Rattus norvegicus: one gene and its partners. The protein of the gene in region 3 binds, or shares a complex with, the protein of the main gene of each other region. Links are inferred from orthologs where the notes say so. Each region holds a gene or a part of one and is shown on either strand. Other genes may lie near its edges.

The links.
Region 1: Snrpd3 (region 3) and Lsm8 share a complex: the UniProt entries of both Homo sapiens proteins name them as parts of the U4/U6-U5 tri-snRNP complex. The link is inferred for Rattus norvegicus from reciprocal best matches to the Homo sapiens genes SNRPD3 and LSM8.
Region 2: Snrpd3 (region 3) and Gemin5 share a complex: the UniProt entries of both Homo sapiens proteins name them as parts of the SMN-Sm complex. The link is inferred for Rattus norvegicus from reciprocal best matches to the Homo sapiens genes SNRPD3 and GEMIN5.
Region 4: Snrpd3 (region 3) and Prpf8 share a complex: the UniProt entries of both Homo sapiens proteins name them as parts of the U4/U6-U5 tri-snRNP complex. The link is inferred for Rattus norvegicus from reciprocal best matches to the Homo sapiens genes SNRPD3 and PRPF8.
Region 5: Snrpd3 (region 3) and Sf3b5 share a complex: the UniProt entries of both Homo sapiens proteins name them as parts of the minor spliceosome. The link is inferred for Rattus norvegicus from reciprocal best matches to the Homo sapiens genes SNRPD3 and SF3B5.
Region 6: Snrpd3 (region 3) and Usp39 share a complex: the UniProt entries of both Homo sapiens proteins name them as parts of the U4/U6-U5 tri-snRNP complex. The link is inferred for Rattus norvegicus from reciprocal best matches to the Homo sapiens genes SNRPD3 and USP39.
Region 7: Snrpd3 (region 3) and Crnkl1 share a complex: the UniProt entries of both Homo sapiens proteins name them as parts of the minor spliceosome. The link is inferred for Rattus norvegicus from reciprocal best matches to the Homo sapiens genes SNRPD3 and CRNKL1.

Annotation. Positions count from the first base shown.
Region 1 is NC_086022.1:48,270,924-48,275,286, forward strand, and holds the start of Lsm8 (LSM8 homolog, U6 small nuclear RNA associated), read left to right. Parts: upstream 1-1,204; 5' UTR 1,205-1,347; coding exon 1,348-1,378; intron 1,379-2,294; coding exon 2,295-2,335; intron 2,336-4,363. UniProt on the Homo sapiens protein: Plays a role in pre-mRNA splicing as component of the U4/U6-U5 tri-snRNP complex that is involved in spliceosome assembly, and as component of the precatalytic spliceosome (spliceosome B complex).
Region 2 is NC_086028.1:42,833,317-42,837,220, reverse strand, and holds part of Gemin5 (gem-associated protein 5), read left to right. Parts: intron 1-1,637; coding exon 1,638-1,770; intron 1,771-3,904. UniProt on the Homo sapiens protein: The SMN complex catalyzes the assembly of small nuclear ribonucleoproteins (snRNPs), the building blocks of the spliceosome, and thereby plays an important role in the splicing of cellular pre-mRNAs.
Region 3 is NC_086038.1:13,141,930-13,146,355, reverse strand, and holds the start of Snrpd3 (small nuclear ribonucleoprotein Sm D3), read left to right. Parts: upstream 1-1,435; 5' UTR 1,436-1,550; intron 1,551-2,828; 5' UTR 2,829-2,844; coding exon 2,845-2,970; intron 2,971-4,426. Other genes in the region: protein GUCD1, read right to left, coding at 567-822. UniProt on the Homo sapiens protein: Plays a role in pre-mRNA splicing as a core component of the spliceosomal U1, U2, U4 and U5 small nuclear ribonucleoproteins (snRNPs), the building blocks of the spliceosome.
Region 4 is NC_086028.1:60,828,177-60,832,676, forward strand, and holds the start of Prpf8 (pre-mRNA-processing-splicing factor 8), read left to right. Parts: upstream 1-1,601; 5' UTR 1,602-1,671; intron 1,672-1,837; exon of another isoform or gene 1,838-1,862; 5' UTR 1,863-1,873; coding exon 1,874-1,973; intron 1,974-2,451; coding exon 2,452-2,620; intron 2,621-3,814; coding exon 3,815-3,979; intron 3,980-4,083; coding exon 4,084-4,302; intron 4,303-4,414; coding exon 4,415-4,500. UniProt on the Homo sapiens protein: Plays a role in pre-mRNA splicing as core component of precatalytic, catalytic and postcatalytic spliceosomal complexes, both of the predominant U2-type spliceosome and the minor U12-type spliceosome.
Region 5 is NC_086019.1:9,175,788-9,178,554, reverse strand, and holds Sf3b5 (splicing factor 3B subunit 5), read right to left. Parts: upstream 1,367-2,767; 5' UTR 1,222-1,366; coding exon 961-1,221; 3' UTR 654-960; downstream 1-653. UniProt on the Homo sapiens protein: Component of the 17S U2 SnRNP complex of the spliceosome, a large ribonucleoprotein complex that removes introns from transcribed pre-mRNAs.
Region 6 is NC_086022.1:105,961,467-105,966,170, forward strand, and holds the start of Usp39 (U4/U6.U5 tri-snRNP-associated protein 2), read right to left. Parts: upstream 3,086-4,704; 5' UTR 3,005-3,085; exon of another isoform or gene 1,152-3,004; coding exon of another isoform or gene 1,029-1,151; intron 718-1,028; coding exon of another isoform or gene 566-717; exon of another isoform or gene 451-565; intron 1-450. Other genes in the region: C4h2orf68 (UPF0561 protein C2orf68 homolog), read left to right, coding at 566-717, 1,029-1,151.
Region 7 is NC_086021.1:153,804,600-153,809,103, forward strand, and holds the start of Crnkl1 (crooked neck-like protein 1), read right to left. Parts: upstream 3,016-4,504; 5' UTR 2,930-3,015; coding exon 2,879-2,929; intron 1,503-2,878; coding exon 1,350-1,502; intron 857-1,349; coding exon 765-856; intron 1-764. UniProt on the Homo sapiens protein: Involved in pre-mRNA splicing process. As a component of the minor spliceosome, involved in the splicing of U12-type introns in pre-mRNAs.

The DNA of each region.
Region 1 (4,363 bases), on a different chromosome or scaffold from region 3:
ATTTTCTTGAATTATAATAGGTATAATTTGTATGGCAAGCTTTAAAGGAATTCTTTTAGCTCCCCAACAGTTTGATGATGTAATTACTGTCACTGTCTCTAACTAAAAGCAAAGCACAGCTAGTTCAATCACTCCAAAGCCATAATTCTTCAGCTAAGAAAGATTTTAAAACCCACAACAAAAAGAAATATTGCTTTTTTCCATAATTAGTTGTGCAGATTCCTAACAACCAGTTTTGAAGTGAAAGCACCATTAAATAAATAAATAAAACATTATTGGAGCAGACAGGGTAGGGGGAGGTTGGAGGTATAACTTATTGGTACAGGACTTTGGAAGACTTGCATAGTGTGAGTTGCACACACACACACACACACACACACACACACACACACACACACACACACACGAGGCATGAGGGAGAATGTCAGTCCTATTTTTACCAAGACATGTGAAAAATAATAGTTCTGTAGTAGGAACTAAGTAAACTCAAGTCCAGAGTTGAAGTGACATAAAATAGTGACAGCAATGAGGGACAGAATCAGAATCAAACCCGGTGCTTAGTTTACACTTTTCTCCAATTAGTCCCTTCACAGTGGGGCTGTAGCCTTTATTTATTGAACTTCACCCTGAGGAAAGCTAAGTCCCGAGACTTCGATGAAATCCATTTCTTAAGGCAGGCTCCTGCACCTTCAGCTATTTGGCTTTCGTTTTTTAAAAAAGCTCGTTTAAGGACACGAAGAGCCAAATTCAGAATACACAAATATTTTCATACAGTTGTTTTCTCCGAAAATGTACATCGTGGAGCTACAAAATGCTCCCTTTGTACTGGGCTATTTGGCTTTTTAAACTTTTTTGGCTCATGCTGGAGAAATCTAGAGCTCCTTGCACCCTGCATCTACATTGCCTATGAGAACAAAGAATCTCTCTCCTACTCTAGCCAATGGAAACATCTTCATCTCGTGTGTCTTCCGGCAGAAAGAGTCTTTCCGCACTACCTTTAGTAACTACCACAGTGCCTTCCCGTCCGGTAGAACCCTCCAGTGTCTCCTTCCAGTCCGCCTTCGGTGACAACTCTACACTTCCGCCTGTCCCCGCCTTTGTCTCCCCTTCCGATCGCCACCCGGAAGCCCAGCGGAAACACGCTGCGCATGCCCACTAGTCAGCACCGCCCCGTTTCCTGTTTGTCCGACTCCTTTCTCTTACTGATTCGTCACCGCTGAGGCCTCAGAGTCTCGCGATATTTGCGTTCGCCAGCGGGCGCGAATCTGTACGTGTTTCTAGCGGGCGGTGTTTTGTCTCCTTGTTGCTGATTCCTCTCAGATTCCCGGAACCTCCGGGCCCAGCAGCATGACGTCTGCCTTGGAGAACTACATCAACCGTATCCTCGGGCGGGCCGCTGCGACGGCTCAGGCCGCGGCGGGGGCGGGAGGGAACACGGGGGCCCGGAGTGGTGGGCAGTGAGCAGTGGGTGGAGGACCGGGGGTCGGGATTCGTGGAGGGAGCTCCCGGATGGACCCGTGGCTTTTTCCACCCACAGCACAGATCTCGGTGTAGTTAGAGTTTTCCTGCACGTAGCCTGTTGATTGTATATGTTCCAACATTGGGACTAAGGTGAACTGTTGTCCTAAGGACTCCCAGTTCGTAGATCCTAACAGTCTTGTTTGTTCGGGGATAGCATGAACAGGAAGATGCTCCTCAGATGTGCATTTCGGGTCCCATGCCTCCGCTTGAAATGTCTATGCGGTAGAATAAAAATAAATCGTATTGTGATGGTGTTTGGAGAGTGACGAATGGCTTTTAAAAAGCCCAGAGATTTTAAGATAGAATTGCTGTTCTGAAGTCAGGGCAAAAACATTGCACCTAGCATATGCTCAAAGAGGAAACCCTAGTTAAATACAGAGAGGTTTTAATGATGCAAGGATTATTGGTACTTGATGGCATTAATTGGATGAGAAGGGCCTTACCATGCATAAAGAGATCCAACATTGATTAGCTCCCATCTAAATTTTATTCTAAAGGTTAAGAAGTGAGTCTAACCTGCTCAGTGTCATAGGTTGGAAACATTGCTGTTTAAACCAGAGGCAAACAGTCACATTCTATACCCTCTATCGTTTAATTAACTGTTTTCAAGGTACAGTTGAAACAAGTTTAAAAACTTACGTTTTATTCCTCCGAGCAGTGACTCTGTTGAATCTTAATTCTTTCTCTTTTTTAAGTAGTTGGAACCATTCCCTTTCTAGGCTAAAAGTTTTCAGTTTGTATTTAGGAAATACTTTCCTTGACTCAGTTCTCAGGAACTGTTGCAGTAATAACTTCTGATGGCAGAATGATCGTGGTGAGTGACATTTTCGTTTTCCTCTTTCCTGAGGCTTATTGCTTGTACATTTGAGGTAACATTTCTGGCCCAATGTTCAGACACCACAGCGTACCAATATTCCGGTGTTCTTATGATTCAGCTATTTAACTTCATCTCTTGGCTGCCTGTCCAACTTCTCTGGCCAACCCTGAAGACCTGAGCTGAAAGGTAGAGCTGTGTGATAAACTGATTTGTTTTCTTCTTGCATCCTTCTATTCCGTTTCGTTTGTTTTAACTTAGAGACCTTAAACAGTTTACATGTGTGTGCCCTAATTGGTTCTTTATCGATGAGGAAATGTGCTTTCAGTGATTTCATCATTTTTCCGAATATAGTAAGTGGTTTTGGAAACTTAAATTTATGACTTCACTGGTGGCACAATCTTCGGTACCATTGGCCGACCTACCATTTCTGATTGAAATATTTCTTGCATGACTGTAAATTAATCCCATGTTATTCCATTCTGGTTTTTTTTTCTTAAAGATTTAATTTTGTTTTTGCTCATGTGTGTGTGTGTGTTTATGAGCGTCTGCCATATGTGTGAGGATACACTACACAAGGAGACCACAAGACCTAGAGTGAGCCACAGTGTGTGGGTGCTAGGAAGAACTTGGACTTTTAACCACCGAGCCATCTCTCCAGCTCCTTAATTTTCTTCTTCATCCTTTTGACTCTTCTCTTCCATGAGCAATACCAGTCAAAATGACATAGACTAAATGCATATCATGTGTTAAGGATTTTGTATATCAATTAGTTTGCATTACAGCCTTGTGAAGAATTGCCACTTTTGTTATTAGGAATCTAGCTTAGACAAAATAAGTCACTTTCCCAGAGAGTCAGTATGACAAGTGACAGAACTGTATAGTGTCATAAATTGTGTTTAATTCCAAAACCAAGGTTACTTCCTTTGCTTGTTCTTAATAAAGGAAACAAATATGTAGGATTTTTTGTTTGTAGTTTGTTATGAGGGGGTGGTGGTGGTCAGATCATAGTCTATATATTTGTAAACTATGGGCACTTAGGAAGTCTATTAATGTTAAAAGCTAATTTGAAAATAGTTGATTTTTAAAGCCTTTAGTTTTAATTTCTTGTTTCTGTTACAAAATGTTTATAGAAGAAAAGCTGAACAAAAGCATTGACATTGATTAGTTCCTATCTTTATCACAAAGTTGTCTGATAAAATAGTTTTGTGTAAAATGAAGGTGAGAGGATTTGGGGGGGGGTTTATGATAACCACCATTTACTAACTGCTATAGTAAATAGTCTAACGTGTTTTTCTTTCCAGTTTCTAGACTCCAGGTTTCTATTTATTTTATTCTGATTCTATATAATTATAGCTTTTGTAACATGAGAATTTAATGGTAGACCCAAGAGATTAACCAGCTAAATTGAAAATAAGCTATTTCTTCAGAAACTTGAAGAGCATCTATGATACTTTCTTTTTCTAAATCCATACAGTTTTTCCTGCTTGTTTTCTTCAACTTAAGTTTCTGATTATTTCAGTTCTAATATATCTACTATAGTATTGATAGAATTCAGTTAGACATATACACAGGACACAGTGTTGGCAGTAAGGAGATGAAATATTAACTATAAGTGTTAACTAGTTTGTCATAACATTGTTTACAACAAAGTAGAGGACTTACTTTGTAATCAGCCTCTGAGCTATGTACTATCCAGGAAATAGATCCTGAACCATCATTTTTATGGAGCATTGGGTGCTATATTTGAAATGGGCAAACCAAAGAACTGTCTCCAAAGATGAAGGAAAGGAGAGGTGATGCATGCAGTGTGTTTCTTTAGCACTGGACCTTTCCCTAAGAAGTAGTATACAGTGATCTTTTGTGTAGATGCTTTGTGGTTCCCTTTATTAACTTAAAGGAAAATTTCCCCTTAAATCTGTCCTGTTTTAGTTTATTCTTAAGTGCTAGTTCCTAGACTGTGTGAGGTTACTTAAGAATAATGGTGCCTGCCTGTCCCTTGCAACTTTCAACAACTATACAGCAGTC
Region 2 (3,904 bases), on a different chromosome or scaffold from region 3:
ACAAGCTTGCTGTGCTTACATTGTCTTCAATTTTCATTTATCGCTGTGGAGGGGCTGTGTGTGCGTGCAGGTGCGCATCACCTTTATGTGGGTGTGGGGTCTGACTCGGGTGGTGAGCGCTCTTTTCAAGCCAGATCACCTCACAGAACCATTACTTCTTTCAAATTGGGCTGAACAGTCCCTCCCTGCAAAGACACCTGTCTGAGAATCCGTGAACATGAAGGCTGTCCACAGTAGCCTTGCATTCTCCTTGCATAGCAGATCTGCTGGAGAATACTGAGAAAATGCTGTTTTCTGTATTCTATTTGGAATATCCTGAAGCACATCTCTGGACATGTACGTGTTGCTTTGTTTTGTTTGAGACCGGTTTCTCTGTGAAGTCTTGGCTATTCTGGAAGTTGCTTTGTAGATCAGGCCTTGAACTCAGAGATGTACCTCTATCTGCCTCCTGAATGCTGGGATTAAAGCTGTGCTCCAGCACACCCAGCTGCCATGTATGTTTTTAAAGCTGTTCTTGTGGTTCTGATGGCCAGTACAAATGATTGGGTCAGTGCTGGTGACGGTTTCCCTTTGAGGGTTAAGCACCCTTCCTAGGGGTTTCATATCAGATAGCCTGCAGATCAGTTATTTATATTATGATTTATAACTGTAAAATAAGTTATAAAGTAGCAACAGGAATAATTTTATGGTTGGGGGTTATGACAACATGAGGAACTGTATTAAAGGGTTGCAACACTAGGAAGGTTGAGAATCATTGAACGAGAAGGAGGAGTTAACTAGAATCTATTGTCCTGCAGTTAGTTGTTAAAGGCTTTCATTCTAATAAGGAGCTCAATTTCCCACACAGAGGTACTGGCATGTTCATGCATCTGCAGACCAAACAACCTTTGGTGCCATTACTTAGGTTCCATTACAGACAAGATTTGGAGCTTGACAAGCCAGCTAAGCTGGAGAGTTAGCCGGAGAGCCCTGTTTCACCTCCCTAGCAATTGGACGAGCATATTACCATGCCTGGTTTCACATATGGGTCTTTCGGATCAAACTCAAATCCTAATGCTTACAAGGCCAGCACTTTACAAGCTACAGTGTCTCCCAAGCCTATCCCAGACAAAGATAAAATTCTTCAAGTTTCAAAGATAGCCTGAAAAGGTTTGTTTGGCCTAAACTGGCAAGACTGGCGTTAACCTCTATCAGAGTAATGTCTCCATAATAAAATGACGTGTTCTTTCTTCTGTGTGCACATGTATGTAGAGGTGATGTTGCAAGTCTTCCTTAGTCCTTCGTGTTTGTTTTTTTTGTCAGCCTTGTTTTGTGAGACAGGTTTTAGCTGAATCTGCTGCTCAGTGATGAGGCTAGACCAGCAACTGGTCAGCAGCTCCAACAGCCTGTCTCTGTGCCCAGCCGTGGCAATGGGTGATAGGTGTACCCCACTGCACCAGGCTGCTGCTGCTTTTTCAGTGGGTGCTGGGGCCTAAGCTGAGGTTCTCATGCTTTTGTGGCAAGCAGTTTCATTACTCTAGCCCCCAAGGTTCTACTACTAATCAGCCAAACCGTTTGTAACCCACAGAATTGAGGATTGCTGGGAGGGGCATGATACTGTTTCACTGTCTTGAGAGTGAATTGACTTTAATCTACAGGTGTAATGGTTTTGAAATTGCCCTTTCTGAAGAGAAGAAGTGGGGGTGTGGACCCAACAGTTAAAGAACGTCTTTGGTTGACACTTCATTGGCCCAAGAACCAACCAACACAGCTGGTATCCAGTTGTTTTGGGTAAGTATTGTGGCCGTATTTTCTAATAAATACTGTCTCCCTGTTCAGATTCAGAAATTCTACGCTTATGTGTTCAGAAAATAGAGAAATAACCAAGACTTATGCTGTCGTTGTTATTCATCTTTCTTCTTTTTTAAAGACATAGCCTCACTTCAGGCAAAGATTGACCTAGCACAATCCATGGAGGATTGGAAAGGTCCTCCTGCCTCAGCCTCTCAAGCGTCTTACTTTGCCCAGCCATCTTAGCATGATAAATGAAGTAATGAATGGGGAGATTCAGGAGACCTGTGCTATTTACTACCAAGAATGGCTCCTTGGGCCGTCTTTATAGGCTGTGCCATGCCCCCACCCACCACCACTACACATACTAGTTGAAAACCTGAGGTGGTCAACTTGATCTGCTCTGTAAACTAGAATTTCCACAACCTCATCCTCTGGTTTAGTTCACTGGCAGGAGCCACTCACAAACCTCACCTATGAATAAGGACATTCAAGGGTGCAGCTGAGAGATGTTCAGAGCATGAGGAGACAGACAGCCTTCCTGTACCCTCTGTAGGTTTTATGAGATCATCATTATAGACATGTGATTGATGTCATCTTTGGCCATCGGTGACCAGCTTATCTTGACCCCTCTATCCTTAAGATGAACTGGGACCACAAGTCACACCCTTATCCCGCCTGGGTCTGCTGAGTAACTCGTCCACATCTTGAAGCTACCTAGAGACTACACCTATCAGCATGCAGAAAGATACTGCTGCAGAGACACATGCCAGAAAAGAGCCAAGGCCAAACGTGTACCACAGTGTCAGGCTGCCTCGTTTGCCAGGACACTGAGAATTCCATGGGCCAGGTCCCTGCTTTAAAATAGACAGTACAGAAAAGCACATACAGATATACAGATTGCCCAGAATGTTAGCCCCATCCCCTCCTGACTACTTCTACCTAAAGAAGATACATTTTGAACGTTGCAAGTTATAGTTGACTTTTATAAATCAAAGAAATGTATTTAAAAGATAGTTCATGGATATGGTAGCTCATGCCTAAAATAACGAGTCCTTCAGAGGCTGAGGCAGGAGGATCTTAAAATTATCCTGGGCAACATAGAGAGTTCCAGGCCAGCCTGGAATACGTCCCAAGACTCCTATCTCAAAAAGCTTTAAAAAAAAAAAATTTTTTTTTTGTTTTTGTTTTTTTTTTTTGTTCTTCTTTTTGGAGCTGAGGACTGAACCCAGGGCCTTGTGCTTACTAGGCAAGCGCTCTACCACTGAGCTAAATCCCCAACCCCTTAAAAAAATTTTTTTTAATTATGCACACTATCTCATCACAGATAATTGTGAGCACCATGTGGTTGCTGGGAATTGAACTCAGGACCTCTGGAAGAGCAATCGGTACTCTTAACCACTGAGCCATCTCTCCAGCCCCACAAATAAAATTTTTAAAATCTTTTTTTCAAAGACTTGTTTGTTTGTTTGTTTATTGTATGTGTTTGCACACACATGCCATGGCATATATGTGGGGTTGAGGGGACAACTTTAAGGGATTGGTTCTCTATTTCCATCACGTGGATTCCAGAGATCGGACTCAGCTCAGGTTTGGAGGCAAGTGCTTTACCCACCAAGCCACACCACCAGCCCCTTTGTTTATTGTTGTTGTTGACGTTTGTTTGTTGTTGGAAAAGTACATCACTATATAGTTGTGGTTTTCCTGGAACTATATAGATTAGTATGTTCTCAAACTCAGAAATCCACCTGCATCTGCCTTCCAAGTGCTGGGTATGCACCACCACATGTGGCTTAATTTCGAGGAGGGAGCGCTCACTTTGTAGTAGAGCTGTACTTGAATTTATAATATTCCACCTCTGCCTTCCCAGTACCTGAGTTCACACTGCCATATCTAGCTCAAAAATGTTTTCCTGTTGATTTTGGTAGTGGTGGTTGGTTGGTTTTTCAAGATAGGGTTTCTCTGTATTCCTCGAACTTGCTGTGTGGATCAGGATGGCCTCAATCCACAGAAATCCACCTGCCTCTACTTCCCCAGTGCTGGGATTAGCTGGAATTAGAGGCATGTGACACTACCACCTGGCCAAAAAAAGGGTTCTATTGGGGCATAAGGTGTGGCCATCAAGGAAGGGGTC
Region 3 (4,426 bases):
ACCAGAACTTCCTGCTGTCCCCACTTCGTGAGTAAGCAAAGGGGCTCGGGTTTCCTCAGGGCAGAAGGAACCAGTAGTAAGCAAATAACCAAAACAGTAGCAAGACAAAAGCGCTGGGTTTGGGAAGCCAGAGAAAAAGACCTTCCCTTTGCTAGATGCTCCCAAGCCATTTTTTCCCCTCTTTCCCGCCCCTTTGTTGAGTGCTCTCAGGCCCCTCTTTCCCCCCCTTCCCGGCCTCAGGCTTTCCACAGCTCCCCGGGAAACAGGATCACCCAACGTGCTTCAAGCAGGGCTATTCGTTTCTGAGCAAGGTTGTGCCTTTTTGCCCCTTGGACTTTTCCACTTGACCACTCTCAGAACTCCCTGGGCTTCAAACCCCGGGAGACTCAGAACAACCATAAGTTGAGGATAAGAGATGAGAAGGAATATCCACCTAGCTAGGACCCACTAGAGGCTCCAGGCTGGGCTGAGGCCGCAGACGACCCAAGGTCGCACGCTGCCAGACCCTGCTCGGCTCCAGGGCGGAGTCCCCCCCCCCCTCGGTTCCCCCTTAGAGAGGCACTGACCCGGCTCGAGCGGCTGCCCCGCTGCCTCTACCTCCGTTCTCATGACCCGGGTGGCGCAGGGCGCCCATGGCCCCGGCCTGGAGCTGATTGCCGCTGCGATTTCTGCTGGGCGGAGAGCTCGGCCAGTGAGCGTAGAGTTCCTCCGCCGCCGTCGCCGCGGCCACCGCGGTTCAGACCCGGGTAGGCGGTGGCGAGGCCGCCTCAAGCCACGCCTAATCCCTTCCAGGTCTGGGCGCTGGAAACCCGCCCCTTCCATAAGCCACACCTCTTCCCTTCTACCCACTTCTCTTCCAGACTGCGCTCCCGGCCGGTCCTTCCCTTAAACGCTCCGGCGGCCCCGCCCTTCCTTAGCCCCGCCCCTGCCCGAGCCCCCGCCCCCAGAGCCTTTCCCGGGGCGACGTTGGCTCCCCACAAACAACCTAGCACTCTCCCGCCACTAGGTCTGCTCTTTTGCAGCCTCAGTTGTAGGCTCTGGTCCTTCGCAATGCCTCGTCGAGACTCCAAAGAATCCTTTTCCTACTCCCTTTAGGTCTTCTTACTTTGACCTTGAATAAAGATAGTTCCCAGGGCTCGGTGTGTCCCTTACCTGACGGTGACCGGATCCAAAGTTTAAATTTCTAATCCAAGCCTCACTTCCTGTCTACCCAGAGCATTGGGCGCAAGCCCAGATCCTGCCCAATCCGTCACTACAGCACTCTGTAAGCGTGGGTCCCCATGTTCCTTTGTGGGCTCGAGGATTGATGTTTCCGGCGGTCCTCGGGCCCTCCACAGTGCCGGAACTATAGTGCTAGAGGCCTGGGTTCCCCAGCCGGCTAAGTGAGAGTAAAGGGTAAGTAGGCCTAAAGGAAAGGGAGGGGCCTGCGCAAGGCATTCTGGGAGCGCGTGGTGTGAGTGATACTCGGGCCCGTCGTTTCCTCGCCTCAAGCCTTCGCCTTCTAACGTTTGTGCCGGGACCGAAAAAAAAAAAAAGCCTGCAGTTAGTTGGTGAGGAGAGGCGGCTAACGGGAGAGGGGAGGCCAGGGCTCTCCAGAGGCTTAGGAGCTGAAAGGGACGCGGAGGAGGAGCTCAGCGGGGCTTAGCGGAGGGCGGGAAGCCAGGGCCTATCCAAATATCATCTCACTAATCCTAGGAACAGTTATTTATTTACGCCTAGCCAGCACGTTCTGTGCCTTTCCAGGTCACCGATTTTCGAAGCTTACAGGCAGTCCTTTCTTGCTAGTTATCTCCTTGCCTTCCGGATCTTCGTTTTCAACGTCCTTTTCATCCCTGCGCCACTCCCATTCCTGTACTGGCCTCCCCTCCTGCTTTGCACGCTGCTGCAGACGTTTCAGCAGATTGCTCTGCTATATGTTTAATCCACTTTGTAGATGCTACTAGTTTTTTTTTAAGCCCTTGCCTATAATCCTGTAGTGTTTCCCTACCATTTTCAGCACTCTCCTAAAGTTGAAAGCCGTGGTTCCTCACCATGTTTAGCATCCTTATAGTCTTCTCATGAAAATGGGCCGTGTGCTCCGTCTAGTGTCGTTTCCCGTCTCAGAAATGTAAAAGCCCTGCGCATAGTCTTTGTTTTTTTAATGAGACTTAAGTCGAGCGTTTACCCTATTTCCCTGAATGATGAGCATTTCCTGTTTATAGCATGTTGCCGTGACGCTTTTGGTCTGCTTTTTGGTGGGGAGTCAAAAAGCTAAATTGTAAAGCACAACCTGTTTTCCTGGATTTCTCTGGGTTTAGGTCTCTTTGTACTATCAGGTACTGTAGCTTTTATCCAAATGCGGTTGCTGAGTGATTGGAATATGACTAGTGTGGCTGAGGGACAGATTTTTTTTGTTTTCATTTGCATTTTGTTTACGTGTAAACAGTTATTTGGTCGGGGTCCATATCATAGTTGTTTAAATGATTATAAAGAGAGGGACATATGACTGGGTGAGAAGGGAGGTACTCGGGGTTGGGGATTTAGCTCAGTGGTAGAGCGCTTGCCTAGGAAGCGCAAGGCCCTGGGTTCGGTCCCCAGCTCCAAAAAAAAGAACCAAAAAAAAAAGAAAAAAGAAGGGAGGTACTCTGATCCCATTCATTGGCTTTCTTTGTCCAGTTTACCATCCTTCCCTACCCTACATGTTGGGCTAACTTGCCGTCGTGGGTCCTTCAAACCAAGAGCCAGACTCCTTCCACAGAAAATGCAGCCGTGACAGAATCTGCAGAGCCTGTGGAATGCCAGTCCTTAGGCTCCGAAAGGTAACCATTGTCTCTCTCACTGCCCCATAGGAAGAGTCCTGCCAAGATGTCTATCGGTGTGCCAATTAAAGTCCTGCACGAAGCGGAAGGCCACATAGTGACATGTGAGACCAACACTGGTGAAGTGTATCGGGGGAAGCTCATTGAGGCAGAGGACAACATGAACTGCCAGGTATCCTGCTTTGCACCCGGGGCTGTGAAAGAACGGTGGCTTCTATCCTGGGGGATAAAAAGGTCTTAATGAAGTTATTCTTACCAGACAGTTACTACCTGTCAGGCACTCTGACAGGCTGTGAGATCATATGTCAATGTAGACTTAGTCTTGAGACAGGAAAGTCATTTGACAGCCTGATGTGGTAGTCCATGAATGTCCCAGCAGTTGGGAGGCTGGGGTAGATTCGAGGGTTCTAGGCCAGTGTGGGCTTTACAACAAGACCACACTGCTTTTGGTGGGGAGTCAAAAGGCCGAGTTAAAAGCCCCGCCTCTCTTCTTAGTTTTCTCTGGGGTTGGGTCTATGTGTGCTTTCAGGTAGCCTTTATCCAAATGCAGTTGCCGAGTACCTGTCCGTAAAACAACCAGTTATGTTAACTTGTTCTGTCTGTCTCGGCTCCTAGAGTAGGTCAGGTTCGGAACCGGAGTCCGCTTCCCAGCACAGTTTATAGTTTGCAGAATTTTCTGCTCACATATGTGTGTGTTTACTTTTGTCTTGGAGAAAGTTCATCTGATAAAACTACCAGAGTTTTGATAAATGGTTTTGGATTTTTTTTCTCCCATTAATTAAGAACTTGAGCTTTGGAATCAGAGAATTCTCTGATTTCAAATTGAGTTGGGCCACAATTATAGGACCTGGGGTACCTTGGCCATTCGTTCTCTCCTCTATAAAATGAGAATGGAGTTGTTTTGGATCCTCTGTGCTGTAAATGCCAACCCAGAATTAAATCCACAAAAGACTTGTTGGGGAAATGGCAGAAGGATGTCAGTGACCGAGCGGGATAGCACATGTGATTGGTTACTTTTCTTGTTGCTGTGATCAAATTCCTGACCAAAGCAACTTACGGAAGGAGGAATTTATTTTGACTCACAGTGTGATGACACAGTCTGTTGCAGAGGATGGTGTGATGGCAAGAGCTTGAGGAGGCTAATAGTCGCATTGAATGTGCAATCAGGAAGCAGAGATTAGTGCCTGCGCTTAGCCCAGTTTCTACTTTTGACCTCCACCTAATCTAGATAATCCCTCACAGACGTGCCTGTCCCTTCCTTCAGTAATTCTAAATCCATTAAGTCGATAATAGTAATGATGGTAGCAGGAGAGTCTTCAATCCAGAGAAAGGAAGGCAGATTGAGCAGAAGGAGCCTCAGACTGCAGCATGATGCTGAGCAAGTTTCCCCAAGTAAGAGGAGTGACTGGAGGCAGAAGTGGACTGGCTCTCATGTTTCCTCTGTGCTCAGTCCCTGGCAGCCTGTGTGCATGGCTAACGCAGAGTGAGTGCCAGGGCAGATCCAGAGCAGCAGCTGGAGGATGTCGGCTGCACACTCTTCCCTGCCTATTGTCTCTGGAGGATGAACGTAACATCCCTAGACTGCTCCAGGTCTAGAGATGTTGGAGAAGAGACGTGTGTGTGGGCAG
Region 4 (4,500 bases), on a different chromosome or scaffold from region 3:
GTACCTTACTTAGAATAAGCAAGCATTAACCTCAGAAACCCTGACCCTGAAGTCATTAGCATGCTCTGCTACAAGCTCTACAAGAATCTTTAGGGAGGTTGGGAATTTAGCTCAGTGGTAGAGCGCTTGCCTAGCAAGCACAAGGCCCTGGGTTTGGTCCTCAGCTCCGGGGGGGGGGGGGGGGGGGGAAGACAAGACAAAACGAATCTTTAGGGTTTGGGAGAGATAGCTTAGGGGTTAAAAAGATTTATTGATTTTGCAGGGGACCCCAATTCCTGGTACCCAAGTGGTGGATCATATCTACCTCCATTCCAGGGAATCTAATGTCTTCTTTTAATCTCTCTGGGTACCAGGCATGTTTGTGGTGCACAGGCATACTATGTGAAGGCAAAACATTAATCCATATATTTTTTCTTTTTTCTTTTTTTTTTTTTTGGAGCTGGGGACCGAACCCAGGGCCTTGCGTTTGCTAGGCAAGCGCTCTACCACTGAGCTAAATCCCCAACCCCAATCCATATTTTTTAAAATTAATTTTTAAAAACTATTATTTGGTACACTTTGTTTTGTTTTTGAGGTGTGGTCTTATGTAGCAAAGTTTGGTCTTAAACTCTACAAAGCCAAGGAAGAATTTGAATTTCTTTTTGAAAAAATATTATTTTATGTATATGGGTGTTTGGGTTGCATGTATGTGCACCATGTGTGTTCTGTATCTGCAGAGGGCAGTAGAGGGATCAGATCCTGTAGAATCAGAATTACAGGCAGTTGTGAGGCACCATGTGATTGCTGGGAACCGAACCAGGTTCTCCGGAAGAACAGTCAAGGCTCTTATTCATTCAGTCATTTTTCCAGGCCCAGACTTTTTTTTTTTTTCTTTTTCTTTTTTTCGGAGCTGGGGACCGAACCCAGGGCCTTGAGCTTGCTAGGCAAGAGCTCTACCACTGAGCTAAATCCCCAACCCCCAGGTCCAGACCTTGAATTTATGATCATCCTGTCTTTACAGCTCCCTGTGCCCCACCTCCACTACCCAGTGTCCCACGAGTGCTGAGATCCCTAAGGTCTATGCGTTGCCAGAAATCGAATGAACCAAGGGCCTCCTGTACACCGTACTCTGAGGTTCATTCCCAATCCAGATCATACATTCTTGCCAGACTTCCTTCTGCTTTGGACGTTCCAAGAGTTATTTGACTCTTTGGTACACAGTGAGCACTCTTAACCATAATATAACGAAGGAATAAAAGAACAAAGGATTCATTGAGTAGGAGCTAGTACTGCATATCAGCTCTGAATTCCTGAGAGTAAATACAAGAAAAATGTGCAACGTAGGCAAACTTATTAAAATTGTTATGGCTTTGGCTTTTGGGGAGCAATGTTAAAAGCCAATTAAATGTCAGTTCTATTACAGGCCTCCTAAACCAAACTGACTGGCGGAAGGCGGGGCGTGAGTCTACCCCGGCCCCACCCCTCGCAGTGAAATCCGCTTTTAGACCCGCCTCCCCGACGCGAATTTTACCGTCAATTGGGGTTTTCGCTAATCCATCGAAGCATCTCGCCTCCTATTGGGTGAGCTTCTGAACCTGGTTGCGCACTTCCTGGAGTTGGGAACGCGGAGCGGACGTCGTCTTTCCGCCATTGCTCTGCGAGCCCTGCCGCTACCTAAGTGAGGGACGACAGGTGGGTGGCGGGCGTCTGAGGCTGGGCTGCAAGGCTGTCGAGTGGGCCGAGCGGCCGAGAAGCTGCGCCAGGCCCGGGTCGCGAGCTCTCAGCCCGGCTAGGGTGCAGGCCAGGGCACGCCGGACGTGTTCCATCTTTCTCTTCTGGGCCCGGGCCTAGCTGATTCGTATTGGCTTGCCTCTCCATCCCAGATTCTCCCGGCATGGCCGGAGTGTTTCCTTACAGAGGGCCGGGTAACCCGGTGCCCGGCCCTCTAGCCCCGCTGCCGGATTACATGTCAGAGGAGAAGCTGCAGGAGAAAGGTGAGAGGCGAACGGGAACGGCGCGCGCGGGCTCGAACGTGCAGGCGGATTTCATTTCTTCCCTCTGTAGGCAGGTCATCAGGGGTGTACTTATTAGCAGTATTTACACGTTTTAAAATGTGTTTAAATCATTGAAGGTTTGGAAGCGTCTGTTATTTGCAGGAAGCTAACGTGCGTGCGTGCGTGCGTGTGTGTGTGTGTGTGTGTGCGCGTGTGTATTGTGTGTGTGTGTGATGCGTCAATGGTGACAAAAGCTGTTCCTTTATAGGGATTGCATTACTCTGAAGGGATTAGACAGCAACCCTTCCCTAAACATCAATAGCAAAAATGTCAGGTGTTTTGGGGTAGTAAAATGGCAGTATACTTATCAGTGAGTAGTTCTCCTCTTCACAGCATGCTGAGGGCTACCCCAGGGGCAAGAGTTGGGGGATAATTAGGGTGAATGTGGGCAGCCCTTTTAACTGAGATGCTTTTATAGCTCGAAAATGGCAGCAGTTGCAGGCCAAGCGCTATGCAGAGAAGCGGAAATTCGGGTTTGTGGATGCTCAGAAGGAAGACATGCCCCCAGAACATGTCAGGAAAATCATTCGAGACCATGGAGACATGACCAACAGGAAGTTCCGTCATGACAAAAGGGTCTATTTGGGGTAAGTAACATCCCAGGATAATTTCATATGGAGTTTGGCTTCTTTCCTTTTTCGGCCCCTTCATTGACAGTGTTGGATAGAGGGACTATGGTTTGGAACATGACTTTTTAACTGAGACACAGTTTCCTTGTGTGGGCCTTTCTGCCCTGGAATTAGCTCTGTTGACCATGCTGCTCTAGAATCCACAGGGATCCCCATGCCTCTGCCTCCTAAGAGCTGGGATTAAAGGCAGAGACCATCATGTCCAGCATGGAACATGGCTGTAGACTTTACATAGGATGTTTGTAGAAGTAAAGCCAGGACCACTGGGATTCGGTGATAATTGCCAAGTCTTCTACTTATTTTTGCTTTGTTTTGTCCTGCTGATGTCATTGTTAAATACTATTATTGTTGAACTGTTTGAAGCTCAAGATATGACACACTCTGGATGCTTTTTGGTCACTAGCATTTGGGAGTTTAGGATGTTTAATTCCTGGAGTCTCTCTTACTACTTCTGCAGCAGTAATTGGTAACCAGTGTGGTAGTGTTTGGACGTAATGTCGGCACTGGAGCTGCAGGAGCAGGACTGTCACAGGCTTGAGGCCAGCTCAAGCTGCTCCGTGGAATGCTCCATTAAAAACAACAACAAGAGCCAGATTGGTGGCCAGGCATTTAGTCTCTGTGCACGGGAGACAGAGACAGGAGAATGAATCTTCTGTTCTAGACTGAGTTTCAGGCCAGCTAGGGCTATATAGTAAGACCCTGTCTCAGACAACAACAAACATCATCATCATCATCATCATCATCATTATTATTATTGAAACTTGCTTTTGGTCCTCAATGGATAGACCTTTCCTTTTAGGAGTTTAAGTTTAGTGGCATGGTAAATGAGAGACAAATGGTCACTGTGTAGAGCCATGAATGTGCTGGTATTTACAGGAAGGGCAGAAGGAAGTTGCTTTCAAAGGGACAGGTGTTGGTTTATACAGGCTGATTCCCACTATTGTGGAACTAAGACATTTAAAAGGGAGAGTGGTGTTAGATGGAGATGAGGAGGCCATACTGGAAGTCATGTAGGATCTGCGTCCTAATTTGGGGCTTTGGAATATAAGGCAGCATTTTGTATGGAACACGTGATAACTTTATGGCTTGTCAGCAAGGGACAAATGATGAACACTTAGTTGTTTCTAATTGTTTCTCCTCCTTGTGTTGCAGAGCTCTCAAGTACATGCCTCACGCAGTTCTCAAGCTCCTAGAGAACATGCCCATGCCTTGGGAGCAGATCCGGGATGTGCCTGTGCTGTACCACATCACTGGAGCCATTTCCTTCGTTAACGAGATTCCCTGGGTTATTGAGCCAGTTTACATCTCCCAGTGGGGGTGAGAAGGGCTGAAGTGTGGGGGGAGGTGGCATCTGGTGGGGTGTTGTGGGGGCGGAAGTATTGGCAGTTGAGATCAGTGGGCATGATGCTCTTGCCTTATAGGTCAATGTGGATCATGATGCGTAGAGAAAAAAGAGACAGGAGGCATTTCAAGAGGATGCGTTTTCCCCCTTTTGATGATGAGGAGCCGCCCCTGGATTATGCTGACAACATCTTAGATGTCGAGCCACTGGAAGCCATTCAGCTAGAGCTGGACCCTGAGGAGGATGCCCCTGTGTTGGACTGGTTCTATGACCACCAGCCATTGAGAGATAGTAGGAAGTGAGTGGAACTAATTTCTGTGAGAGTTCTGGAAACAGGAGCTGTGGGAAGGCCGTAGGTAAGAGGCTTGGCTCAATGCCTACCTGATGTGGGCCCTCCATCTTTTCCCTAGGTATGTTAATGGTTCCACCTACCAACGCTGGCAGTTCACATTGCCTATGATGTCCACTCTCTACCGACTGGCCAACCAGCTTCTGA
Region 5 (2,767 bases), on a different chromosome or scaffold from region 3:
CCCACTGCAGGGCAGGCCTTGTTAGATGGAAAACACCTTCCCATGCTCTGCGTGGCTATTTCTCTTGATTCCTTGAAATCTGTCCTCAAATGTCACCATCTCGGTCATGTAGCATAAGCGTGGGATTTGAAATTGTAAACTCCTCAAGCTGCCCCATCCCCCTCCATCTTCTAACTCTTGACTAGTTTAGCATATCTGCTTCCAAACTGGCCGGCATAATGTATGTCCTCAAACCTTTGGAAAATGCTCTGGTGAAAACTGAATGGGGAGAGGTGGAGCAGGGTCGGGACAGGACACCATTGTTTGCCAGTTTGTCATTTCTGAAGACACACAAACTAATTACCAAGAAAGGGGGGAGGGGGCTGCAGCATAAAGGGAAGTGAGGTTAATGACAGCAAAGACTAGAAATGGGTGGGAAGGAATGTGGAAAAACTCCATGCTTGAAGGTTTCCTTGGTACCAGACACACTGTAGGCATGAAGAAAATCGAGGTGAGGGAAGATCATAAAAGTGTGTGTGACAACTAAAGTACTTGTCAATAAACGCTTGCCCTGTGCTTCCGCCCCCGTTTTCTAGTCATATTCTCACGAAATCTTGATCCACAGAACTCTCTCCAAATACCTCCCAAAGAACACAGCAATTCAAACCAAAAGATATAACAAATCCTAACTTTATGTATGATATATATTTAAAAAAAAAAAAGGCGAGAACGACATCAACTATCGAAAAGCTGACTCGGAATGCGTCATCACTCCCAGGCAGTCTTCTCCCTCGCTTGCCGATTCTGGGATCACTCCTTCCGCACAGCTCCCAGGAGACCCGACAGTCTCTCGATGACTTGTTCGGAACCGTCCACAGGTAAGCAGGTCAGGCGATACACCCAACGGAGAATGGTCGAGAAGCAGGAGTCAGGAGGATCGGTCCACAGATGGCAGATGGGGAAGGCTGGGAAGCGCTCGCCTCAGTTCTCCTCCGGCTTGTCCGCCGGCGGCCCGCTGGGCTGCAGCATTTTCTCCATCAGGTTGAAACGCACGCGCGCTTTGCTCTCATTCTCAGCAATGGCGAAGTAGTTGAGGAGGTCGAAGTGACCCATGTAGGAGCAGTAGGAATCCCGATGCTGGTTCACAAGCCATTCCCACTTGGTGGTGTCGGCGTGGCCCGTGCCGATGTACTTGGACTGCAGATGCTCGAGCTGGCTGTGGATGGTGTACCGGTCCGTCATCTCGCCGCTCTGTTCTTAGGCTTCGAGGTCAGGCCACAGATGAGAAGCTACCGCTGTTCGGCGTTCAAATCAGAGAGACGCCGCCGCCGCTGCCGCCGCACAAAAGCTCTATTCGTGCTGGCGCAGGAGAAAGACGACACGCAGTCGCAGGAGTACTTTCTTTTCCTAGGCGGAAGGGGAAATAAAGTCTGTTGCGGGATTGGGGTTGCCTAGGAAACAGTGGGCCGTCTCCTCACGGAGCCCGCCTACTTCGAAGAGCGTTGCATGATGGTCCTCTTAGTGGCTCTTGGGTGATCACGTTCTAACCCTCGCGTTGCATTCTGGGACATGTAGTCCAAAGAGTTTGTCTTAGATTGTTTTTGAGGGGTTTTGCCTGGCTTATATAGGACAATGTCCAAAAACCTCGAAGCTTCATCCCACGGCTCCGGGCTACAAAGAAGGAGAAACCTACGTGGGTTTCATAATCCCACTGTCATTGAAATCTCATACTGCCGCAACACAACAGTATGAGCAACGAGGAAAACTAACTCTTGTACCTAGAAGTTAACATGGTGGCATGGTTCCGCCTTGGCCCAAGTTTTGTCTCTTAGGATTTGGGTACCGGGAAAAGTTTTTTTTTGTTGTTTTTTTTTTTTTTTTTGTTTTGTTTTGTTTTGTTTTTTGACTCTCGCTAGCTGCTTGTTGATCAGTGTCAGCACTGGTAGTCTCATTAATGGCTTCCCTAAGGAGTTCCAGGCGCCAGTTTCTCAACCCACCTAGGCTCTGTGGCCTTGGGCAAACAACCCCTCTTTAAGGTCATTCATAGGCTATTCCTTGAAGTCGGATATGGCTCGAGACAAGAAACCTCTTTCTCTTCATCTTGTGTTTTTCTGCTGATTTCTGCCTTATGTTGGGGGTTGTGCACTTTCTCGCATGGTACAAACTACTCAGAAAAAGATAATTGTACTTCTTTCATGGTACTCCCTGAGGATATGCGAATAGCGTGATGAAGATTGTATTCTCAAAAAAAAAAAAAAATCTTAAGAATGGGGTAAGAGCAATCATAGCCAGAGAGGATGGATGATGACAGACAAATTGAAAATACAGGAGTTTGGGGGTACTTTTGTTTATTTGATGTAAGAGGGGGGAGGCGAAGTTTTGTCCCTGAGCTCACAGCAATCCTCCTGACTCCTGAGACTAGAGACTTGTGCAACTCCATCTAATATTTATTCTTCTGTCTAAACTTTGTCATAAAGCATCTTGCCAGGTGGTGGCAGCACACATCTTTTTTTTTTTTTTCTTTTTTTCGGAGCTGGGGACCGAACCCAGGGCCTTGCCGCTCTCCCACTGAGCTATATCCCCCAACCCCGGCAGCACACATCTTTAATCCCAGCATTTTAGAGGCAGAGGCAGGTGGCTCTCTGAGTTCCAGGAGAGCCAGGCCTACAGGGAGAAACTCTGTCCCGAAAAATAAAACCAACCAACCAAACAAGCAGCACCCAACACTTAAATGACACAATACACATCTTTTTTTTTTCTTTTTCTTTTTTTCGGAGCTGGGGACCGA
Region 6 (4,704 bases), on a different chromosome or scaffold from region 3:
CGACCAGTACATAAAATGAAGTGACCCCAGTAAATGGCCTTTTGTCGGGTTTCCTGTGACCATGAGCTCACGTTTACTAACAACTAACATATGACACCAAGTTTTGGGGCTATTGTTTACAGAGGGTTTAGATCTTGAGTACATTGACTCATTGAACCCATAAGACACCATTAAGCTGAGAACTAGTATGTCTGTTTTACTATCCAAAGAGGTGAATAAGTTGACCAACATCTCAGGTAGTAAATGGCAGAGCCTGGATTTGAACTGAGGCAGAGCTCTGTCCATCCTTTGAGCAACTTCCAGTGATATTTGCAAGAGACATGTTCATCTTGTTCTTAACTTTCTAGTGTAATTATGCTAGAGAGAGAGAGAAAGAGAAGTTAAAATCCTGATTGACAGCTCCCCTAACACACACACACACACACACACACAGTGCACACACATACCCACCCAGGGTCTGTTGGAAGCTTGGAGGCTTTCTTGGTGTTGTTTTTCTGATAGTTTCTGTGGGCAGGGGTTTTAGCAGCATCCCCCTCTTCCCTCTCATTCTGGTTTGCCCTTACAGATGGCTCTACCCACCCAGTGAACCCAGACTGTGAGGAGTCCAGTGAGAGCAGCAGTAGTGGAAACTCTGAGCTGGAGCCTCCTGGTCGCCAGCTCTTCTGTTTAGAATATGAAGCGGACAGTGGAGAGGTCACATCAGTTATTGTATATCAGGTACGCCTTCCGGAAACAGCTGCATCTTGACGGTCCTGGGCCATGATGGAAACTACCACTAGTTCCTGAGCCGCTGTTAATCTCAGGGCCAGTGGAAAACGTGTCTTCCTGTCAGGTATTCTCAGCACAGAGATTCCTAATTGGGGGAACAGGGAAAACTTGTGACCCGCAGTTGAGAATCACTGTTACAGGGGATTCCTGAGAAATGACAAGCCTTAAGCCAAACAGTTCTGTGAGAATGCTGTCTAGGAATAGGGCAGCACTTTTCTGAGAGACCAGGCTCTGAGCTTCCTGACTCTTCCTCCACGTAGGACGATGATCCCGGAAGGGTGAGTGAGGAAGTATCAGCACACACACCTCTGGATCCAGCCATGCGAGAGGCCCTCAGATTGCGCATCCAGGAGGAACTTGCAAAGCGCCAGAGCCGACACTGATGGGGTTGAAGGGCAGGATTCACTGCACTTGGCAGAATTTTGCCCAAGGAGCTCACCTCTAGTTTGGGGGGTGCCAGGATGAATCCATGTGATCTTCAGGGATAATGTCCTCCTCTAAGCTGCTGTATCCACAAGGGTCTTGCAGGACCACATCCGACCTACCTCTCAGCAGCTATTCTCTCTTATCTCATCTAACCTAACATTCTGGAATTTTGGCTTTGGCTAACGGTGTTTTGGGGGCAGAGACTTCAGGGAGAGCCAGGCTTTCTGAAGCCTTTGCCCGTGTGCTGTTGTCTTGGTGAGGTTATTTGTCAGGCTCCTTCGTGTTTCTGCTTTCTTCCACTCATCTTTCCCCAGGCCTGTTTTCAGTCATCACTTTTCGTTTCTCCTAGCTTTCTGCCTTGGGTAGAGTCCATTTCTACCCCCCCCCCCCACCCGCAACATGACTGTTTTTCTGCCACTCAGGAATTTAGAAGTGGGGCTTCTGGAAGCCTGCCTTCCTTGACAAGTTCTCCAAGTAATTCTGATGCCAATAAAACAGGAGAGCTTTGGTTTTGAGGCCTATTTGGAAACACATCTCCTTCCCCTTCTGTGGCCTTCCCAAGCTACTCATGCCTCACTGCTTTGCACTGTCTGTGTAGACTGCATAGGAGACCCAGGAAGAAGGTGCTGTGCTAAGTTGCTGTCCTTTGTTGAAAACCTGTCCTGCTAAGCATGGGTGGCACATGCCTTTAATCCCGGTACTCAGGAGGTAGAGACAGGTGGATCTCTGTGAGTTCAAGGCCAGCCTGGTCTACATACCAGCACATCTAGTGGCAGGACAGACAGTGGTAGAAAGAACCTATCTCAAAACAACAACAACAACAAGAAAGGTTTAAAAAAGTAAAACCTGCCTTGGCTAGGCTTACCAAATTCACCTCCTAGCTGTGAACAGACTACCTTCTGCTCAGACTAAAGGGGAATTATCAAAGCAGATGCTCCAATTGTGGTTTAGCAATCTTGAGTTATTGAAGTTGGGAGAGTTGACAATAGCTATAATTGTCCTGAGGTGGGAGGGCCCCAGTTTCAAAAAGGAGTTGAGAAGAACATCATCAAGAAAGTGAAATGACCCTTTCTCTGCTCCATGCTTTCTTCTCTCATACCTCCCAAGAATATGTCTGAGCATGATGACGCACGCTTTAACCTTACCAGCATGGAAGAGGCCAGAGTATGAGACTGCCTAAGTTAAAGACCAACCTGAGCTGTCTCGAGAGAAAACTAAGTAAATGTACCTTAGGTCCTTTGGGTAAAGATCCCCAGACAGAGCATTTTTCCAGCAGGGGACATGTTTTCCAACACTAGCTTAGGCTAACTAAGGTCTGAAGTCCATAAGACATCCTGTGCACGGGAATTCAGGGCTACCTAAGACTTCTGACATACGAGCCTAACTTCAGCAACCTGAAACATGAGTCATAAAACAGCCCACAGCCGAACCTCCTACCCCGGGCGTTTGTCTTCTAGGGTCTCAAGATCATTCTAACTGTAGGAGTTCAGTAGCTTGTCTCTTCTGGGACACCTGGGGTCCCTGCTGTGTTTTATCCCCTTCTGCTGAAAACATGTAATGTAGCGGGCATCGGCTTTATGCATTAAAAGAGTGACTCACAGCTTGCTGTGCCAGAGCTCTGGGGCATTGGGTGAGGTGGTGAGTTAGAAGGGCCTAGTCCAGAAGTAGCTGGGGACCTGAATGCTCTAGACCAGGAGAGCTGGTCCCAGAGCTCAGTGCCTTAAGCTTGAGTCCTGATCTCAGTCTGCTGTCAGGGAAACGCCTTCACCCAGTACTTGTGCACTAGTGCTGAAAGTGCCTGTGGCCTTACTTGGTTAGATACCATCCAGAGCCTTCGGGGTGAAGGAGGGTCTGCCACACTCCATGCTCTTCATCCTCCAGTTAATCAGTCCATATTCTGACTTAAAACACAGGATTCACTGGAACTCTGGCTGGACAAAGAACATTGGAATCTCTTTGGGGTCTGTGTTCTTAGAGCTATGCTTCCTATATCCTGATTCTGTTATTGTACACCTGTTAAAAACACCTGAAGAAGAATCTGAGGACCAGCACCTACAAATTTGCCGTTATTCCCACTTCTTGATGAAGGACAAAATAGATACAGTGTTCTGTAGAGGCCGTTCATGTGTTCATATGGTCCTCACAAAGACCCTGCGCAGAAAGGAGACGGATGGAAACTTCTCTAAGCTCCTTTTCCAGAAGCACTTTGCTTATCAGTATGTATGAAAGATTTTCTAGCTAAGAAAGCACTCTTGATTCTTAGCTAATTTGTCCTGTATGACTACCTAAAGCCCCAGACTTGTGCCCAAATGAAATGGTCATTCTGAGCCAGCCTGTGAGAGCTGATATTTTCTAGGCACCCCTAAAATGTCTCTTAGGGGCCACCCTCAGCCTTATGGCATAGCTTTGTTGCTCTGCTGGCCTATTCTGGGGTCCGTAGTAATGTCCAGTTTACTTGGCAACCCTGCTTCCAGATGCTTCTCTTACCTATTTCAAAATTCACAGGCCATAGTGAGTTCTCAGAACTGCCCAATGTTACAGCACAGCATGCCATAGGCAGGACTTAACAGCAAACTGCCCCAGAATCAACATTCATTTGAGTAGATAAGTTCTTAACTGTCTTTTTTGGGGGAAGGGGGTATGGGGTCAGGAGGCTGAGCCAGGTATGATGGTACATGCTGGTAATCCCAGCATTTGAAAGGCTGAGATAAAAGGATTGCCCTATAGCCAGGCATAGTGGCACATACCATTAATCCCAGCACTTGGGAGGCAGAGATAAGGTCTCCTGAGGCCAGCCTTATCTACAAAGCAAGTTCAGGACAGCTACAAGTACATAGAGAAACCCTGTCTCAAACCCTACCCCGATTATTTAAGAAAAAAAAAAGACTGCTATGAGTTCGATGCCAGCGTGAGCTACATAAACCTTGTATCAAACAAAAAGTCTCATTCCCATTCTCTATGGAATGTTTTTTCCCCTTAGTTCTTAACTAGAGTTAAGCCTGTATTTTACAGTTTTGTGATTCCTGGACCAAGTGTGTATTATTCATGAGAGAGAGAATTGGTTTTTGCAAGGGGGTTTGTGCTGTGCAAGAATAAATGATAAAGCCGGGGTTGTAGCCCCCTGGCAAGCGTGACTCTGAAGAGTGCAAAGAAGGGAAAAATGTAAAAGTGTATACGATGAGAGTAAAGTGTATGCTGGCTGCAGTCTAGCCAGCAGGTGTGGATCTAGAGGAAATGTGAAAGAACATTCCATCTCTCTGGTCGTGGGTGTACTGCCAACTGGAGAGCAGCCCAGATAGGTGGAAGCTCTTTGGGGTGGTGAGTGTCCAACCTGCTGTGTTTAACAAGACCTGTGTCAGGGTGGTGCTTCCTAGATAACTCAAATTTAAGTGAGACCCTCATATAAGGACAGATGACTTTTCTGCCTCTGAGCCTTTGGGAATCTCATATGCAATGCTGGCAGTTGTTTGAAACCTTACTCTTGAATGCCCACCCTGTCCCTGCCGAGCT
Region 7 (4,504 bases), on a different chromosome or scaffold from region 3:
AAGGCAGCACCTATAAGATATGCAACAGCTACCTCACAGTAGCTGCAGTGCCCTCCTTTGTTGTAAAGGCACCTATCATGGGCCAACTTCTAGTCATAAGAAGAGGAAAAGCAATGATGTTCTCAAGTTACTGCACAGTCCTTAGGAGAGACAGCATGCAATTATTTCATAATGTTATAAGCAGCATAGGCAAGGTCTGGACAGGAAGCAGAGAGAGAAATGGCAATGTTTGGTGAAACAGGCTAAGCTGCAGGAGCTCCTGGAACTGAGAATGGGAGAGATAGTTGCAGTTTGTTCAGAAGTCAAGGTTGGTGAAGAAAAGGTGCCTTCAAGGGGTCAAGGCAGAGAGCAAACAAATGGCACAGTAATGAGCAATGATGTGCTCAGGATTGGCAAGGACATGGTCACAGTGGAACATGGGTACGAGGGTAGAAAGGCTAGTCAACGGGCAGTGAAGGCCACCATGATTTTTATCTTGACAACAGATTTCAGGAGAACACTCCTATATTTGAAACAATATCCAATTAACACAGAAAACAGACAAAACACTGTTCTTAGCGACAGGAGTACTAGCAGCAAGACCCACATCTAGAACCTCCTGAGACACCCCCTTGACTGTCCTTCCCAGTGAGTGCCTCAGAGAGCTCCCTGGAAAGAAGCTGGAAATTGCTGACACGGCACAGTTCCCTGCTCTCCTCTTCCCAGCTCTCACACGCTGGCTTGCACACTCTTTGCAGACAGTTACTATAGTCGTGGCACTTTACCTTTGAATTTCCTTCAGACTTTCCTCCCATTGTGCGTATTTGATCCAGTTGCTAATCACAGTTCTGTTTTTTCTTATATTATCTTCGAAAGTCTGAAAGGCAAAAGGGGAGTGAAGAGAGTGTATCAAAGAGAAAATGACTTTGCTTCCCCCTTGTAATATACAGCACTCATTTTATTCTTTCTAAGAGAAAATATATCCTAGATGCTGAGGAACAAGAACCTTCCTCCAGAAGGGGGACAATGACAGGTGTTTCTCTAAAGTTTATGGTGACATCAAGAAAAATGTAAGGTGTGTCTTTTAGAACGCTTTGCTGTTCTCCGTAGCAATTAACAACGAGTGCTTTAATAAATTCTACTCTCATTAAGAATAAGAATGTTGAAACAACTTTTAACATTACCTTCAAGTGCTCGGTAACTCGTAGAATTTTACGTATGACTTCCACGATATTAGTGCATTAAATAATCCCAAATACTAGCCTGAGGTCCGATCACATAGGCCCTTTCAGAGTTCTCTCCCAGGCCCTCGCTCCTACTGTGGGGGGCGACTTGGACAGACGTACGCAGTGCATTCTTAACAGACTCACCTTCCTTTTCCGTAGTTTGTAATCGTTTAGTTCTTCCTCGTCTGTGATCTTCTGCTGAGGTGGGGGTGGGAGGAGCTCGAGCTCTCTTTCTTTAGCCTCCCTTAAGAGCTGCTCTGCGGTTATCTGCACCTCTGCTGGCGCTTTGTTCTTCACCTGTTAGGACAAAGAGACATTCCTGCTTTTGGGTAGTGTTCTCCACACAAGATCTAAGAATGAGTCCAAGATGCCATCTTTGAATGACACCCTCAATTCTCCATGAGACAGAACCGGGGGCAGGGGGAAAATCGTACCACTTCCTCTTTATCACCTGCTCAGAGAACTAACTCCTCTAACCCCTCGAGTGGACAAATTGGTTTTCCATGACATTTTAGGCCAACTGAAACTGTTCTTTTTACAAAGTCTCCACCAATAGCCTGTAAGCGCTTTAGTTCCAACACGGTAGCCACAAGTCAAACGTGTTCAAGGTAGATGGACCCTGAGTGCAAACATACTGTTCTAATTTGCTTTCTTACTGCTGTGATAGAACAACACCAACAAAAACAACCCGCAGAGGAGAGAGCTGATTGACTGGCTTACACAACTGGACCACGAGTCCATCATGAAAGGAAGTCAGGGCAGGAAGCCGGAGGCATGACTGATATACAAGCTAAGCTCAGTCTGTTCTTACATACTACTCTGTACCACCTGCCCAGGTATGGCACTGCCCAAGTAGGGTGGGCCCTCTGCACCAATCAGTAACTTGCATACAAGCAATCTTATGGATGAATTTTCTTAGTCCAGACTCCTCTTTCTAGATAACTTGAGCTTGTGTCGAGCTGTCAAAAAATCTAGCCAGGACACATACCATGGTTTTTATGACTCAGGATGCAGGGGAAAAGCTACCACATTAGATTTTTACAATTACATGTGGAAATAAGAACCTGTCTCAAGACCAAAAGGCCCTAGAAGAATCAAACCAGAGAAAGATTGTATGCAATGGCTAAGTGCAAGACTTGATATTCATTAAGCATTGGTGAAGTATCAGCCACCGTTGGAAATAGAATAATTTACTGTCCAACCTAAATGATGCCATTGCACAGAGCCTGTCCTCTCCCATCCCCTCCACTGCCTAACTTTGACGCAGCCTTCCAGTGTTAGCTTCCTTCACAAAGCTTACCCTCAAGTTTACTGGCACCCTTCTGGTTCTTGCCTATAGCATAGTCTACGGGACTAGGCTACATCTATCAAGGTTGCTATTTCGCCCTTCCTCCAGTTTTATTGGAGCACTGTAGCCTCGAGTAAAAGTAGGGGACCCCCAGAGACTAGGAAAAGCAATGAGTTTACCGAACCGAACTGATGCTTTGCATCACAAAAATACCACCCTGGAACGAAGGCTGGGCAGACGCGAGACGAACTCGGAGTGACAAGACCCCGTGCCACCTCACCATGGACCACCTGTCTTCTTGGACCAGGGCACAAAGATCTCTGTCCGGAATCTCTAGTGCCCCACACCACAGATGCTGTGCTTGAGGCTCCTCGAGGTCGCTTACCTTGGCCACTTTAGGAATCCGCTGTTTCCCGGCTGCCGTGGAAGCCGCCATGATTGTAGCCGCGGAACGCGAGCGACCCTGGCCCACACCCGGACTTCAGATACACGCCTCAAAATCCCGCGGCCAGCACCACAGAGCCAGCCCACAACAAACTAGATCCCGGAACCGGAACCGGAACTTGCCAAGGCGACCTTTGACCGCCTCACCAGTCAGGGGAAACGCCGCGTCGTTTCCGTAGCAACCGTGTGCGCGTCCTCAGAGGAGCAGCGCCGCTTGCTGGGACTGCGGGTGAGGTGGGTAGCGCGGGCTGCGCCGCAGGGACATGGGGTTCGGGCGGCGAGGGCTCACCCAGGTCCGTCTCTAAGATGCGTGCAGCTGTAGGTAGTGGCACCTGACAAGGGGCGTAGGAACCCATCTCGGAAGTGGAAACAAGAGGGAGAAGGGAAGAGCGCGGAGGAAACCACAGCCTTGCAAGCAGCTGCCAGGGCAGCGGTGCATGCTGGGATTTGTAGTCTCTGAGTCCCCGCCCCCTCGTCTCGGGCTTCCTCGCGATTGGGCCAAGTTAATGATCTTGAAACGTGGATTTTTTTTTTTTTTTTTTAAATAGAGGTATTTTTGCAACAAGATGTTAGAGAAAGGTGGAAATTAGTAGCAAAGCATCTACAGAAACTGGTACATTTGGTACAAAAACCAAATTTTTAGTCTGTAAATTTGTTTTCATTATTTCAATTCTGTTATCCTTTGACTATAAAATGAGAGAAATACCTATTTCCTTAAGATTAAAGAGAAAATCTGTCTATGTAAAGTGCTCGCTAGATGTTAGTATGTATACTATCCGACGTACATTCAGAAACAGAGTTACTGAGCATATAGTTAAGATAATTTTTTTAAATAAAAATTTTGAGATTGACGGTAAAATTGGGAAGGTGAGCTTCTCCTACTCCCTCTTTCCCCACCCTCAAAGGGCTTTCTACGATCCATTCCCACCCCTACGGTGGTTCATCGTCAGCATTGGTGAATTTACACTGACACATTATCAGTTAAAGGCTGTTACAGTTCACCCTTGTACTGTCTGAGATTTAGGACAAAGGCAAGATAGTCTGTGTCTGCTGTTTCTATAATCTACAGAGTTCCAAGCCATTAAGATCCTCAGGGTACTGCCTGTTCATCCTTCTCCCCTTGAGCCTTTGACTGCCAATACTCAATTTTTAATTTTTTTAAAGATTTATTATTTATATGAGTACACTGTCACTGTCTTTAGACATACTAGAAGAGGGCATCAGATCCCATTACAGATGGTTGGTTGTGAGCCACCATGTGGGTGCTGGAAATTGAACTCAGGACCTCTGGAAGAGCAGTCAGTTCTCTTAACCGCTGAGCCATCTCTCCAGCCCAATACTCATTTTTGTAAGCATTTTTTAAAAATTCTTTGAGTTTTGCATTTTAATCATAGTCACTCCTCCAGCTTTCCCCGGGATCTACCCCATTCCCTATCTACCCAACTTTGTGTCCTTTTGGTTTTCAACCTTTTAAGACCAATTTGTGTTGCCCAGATATTTTTGGATATGTGGTCTTCCATTGGAGCCTGGTCAACTTACCAGAATGGTAGACTCTTAGAGAAAACTC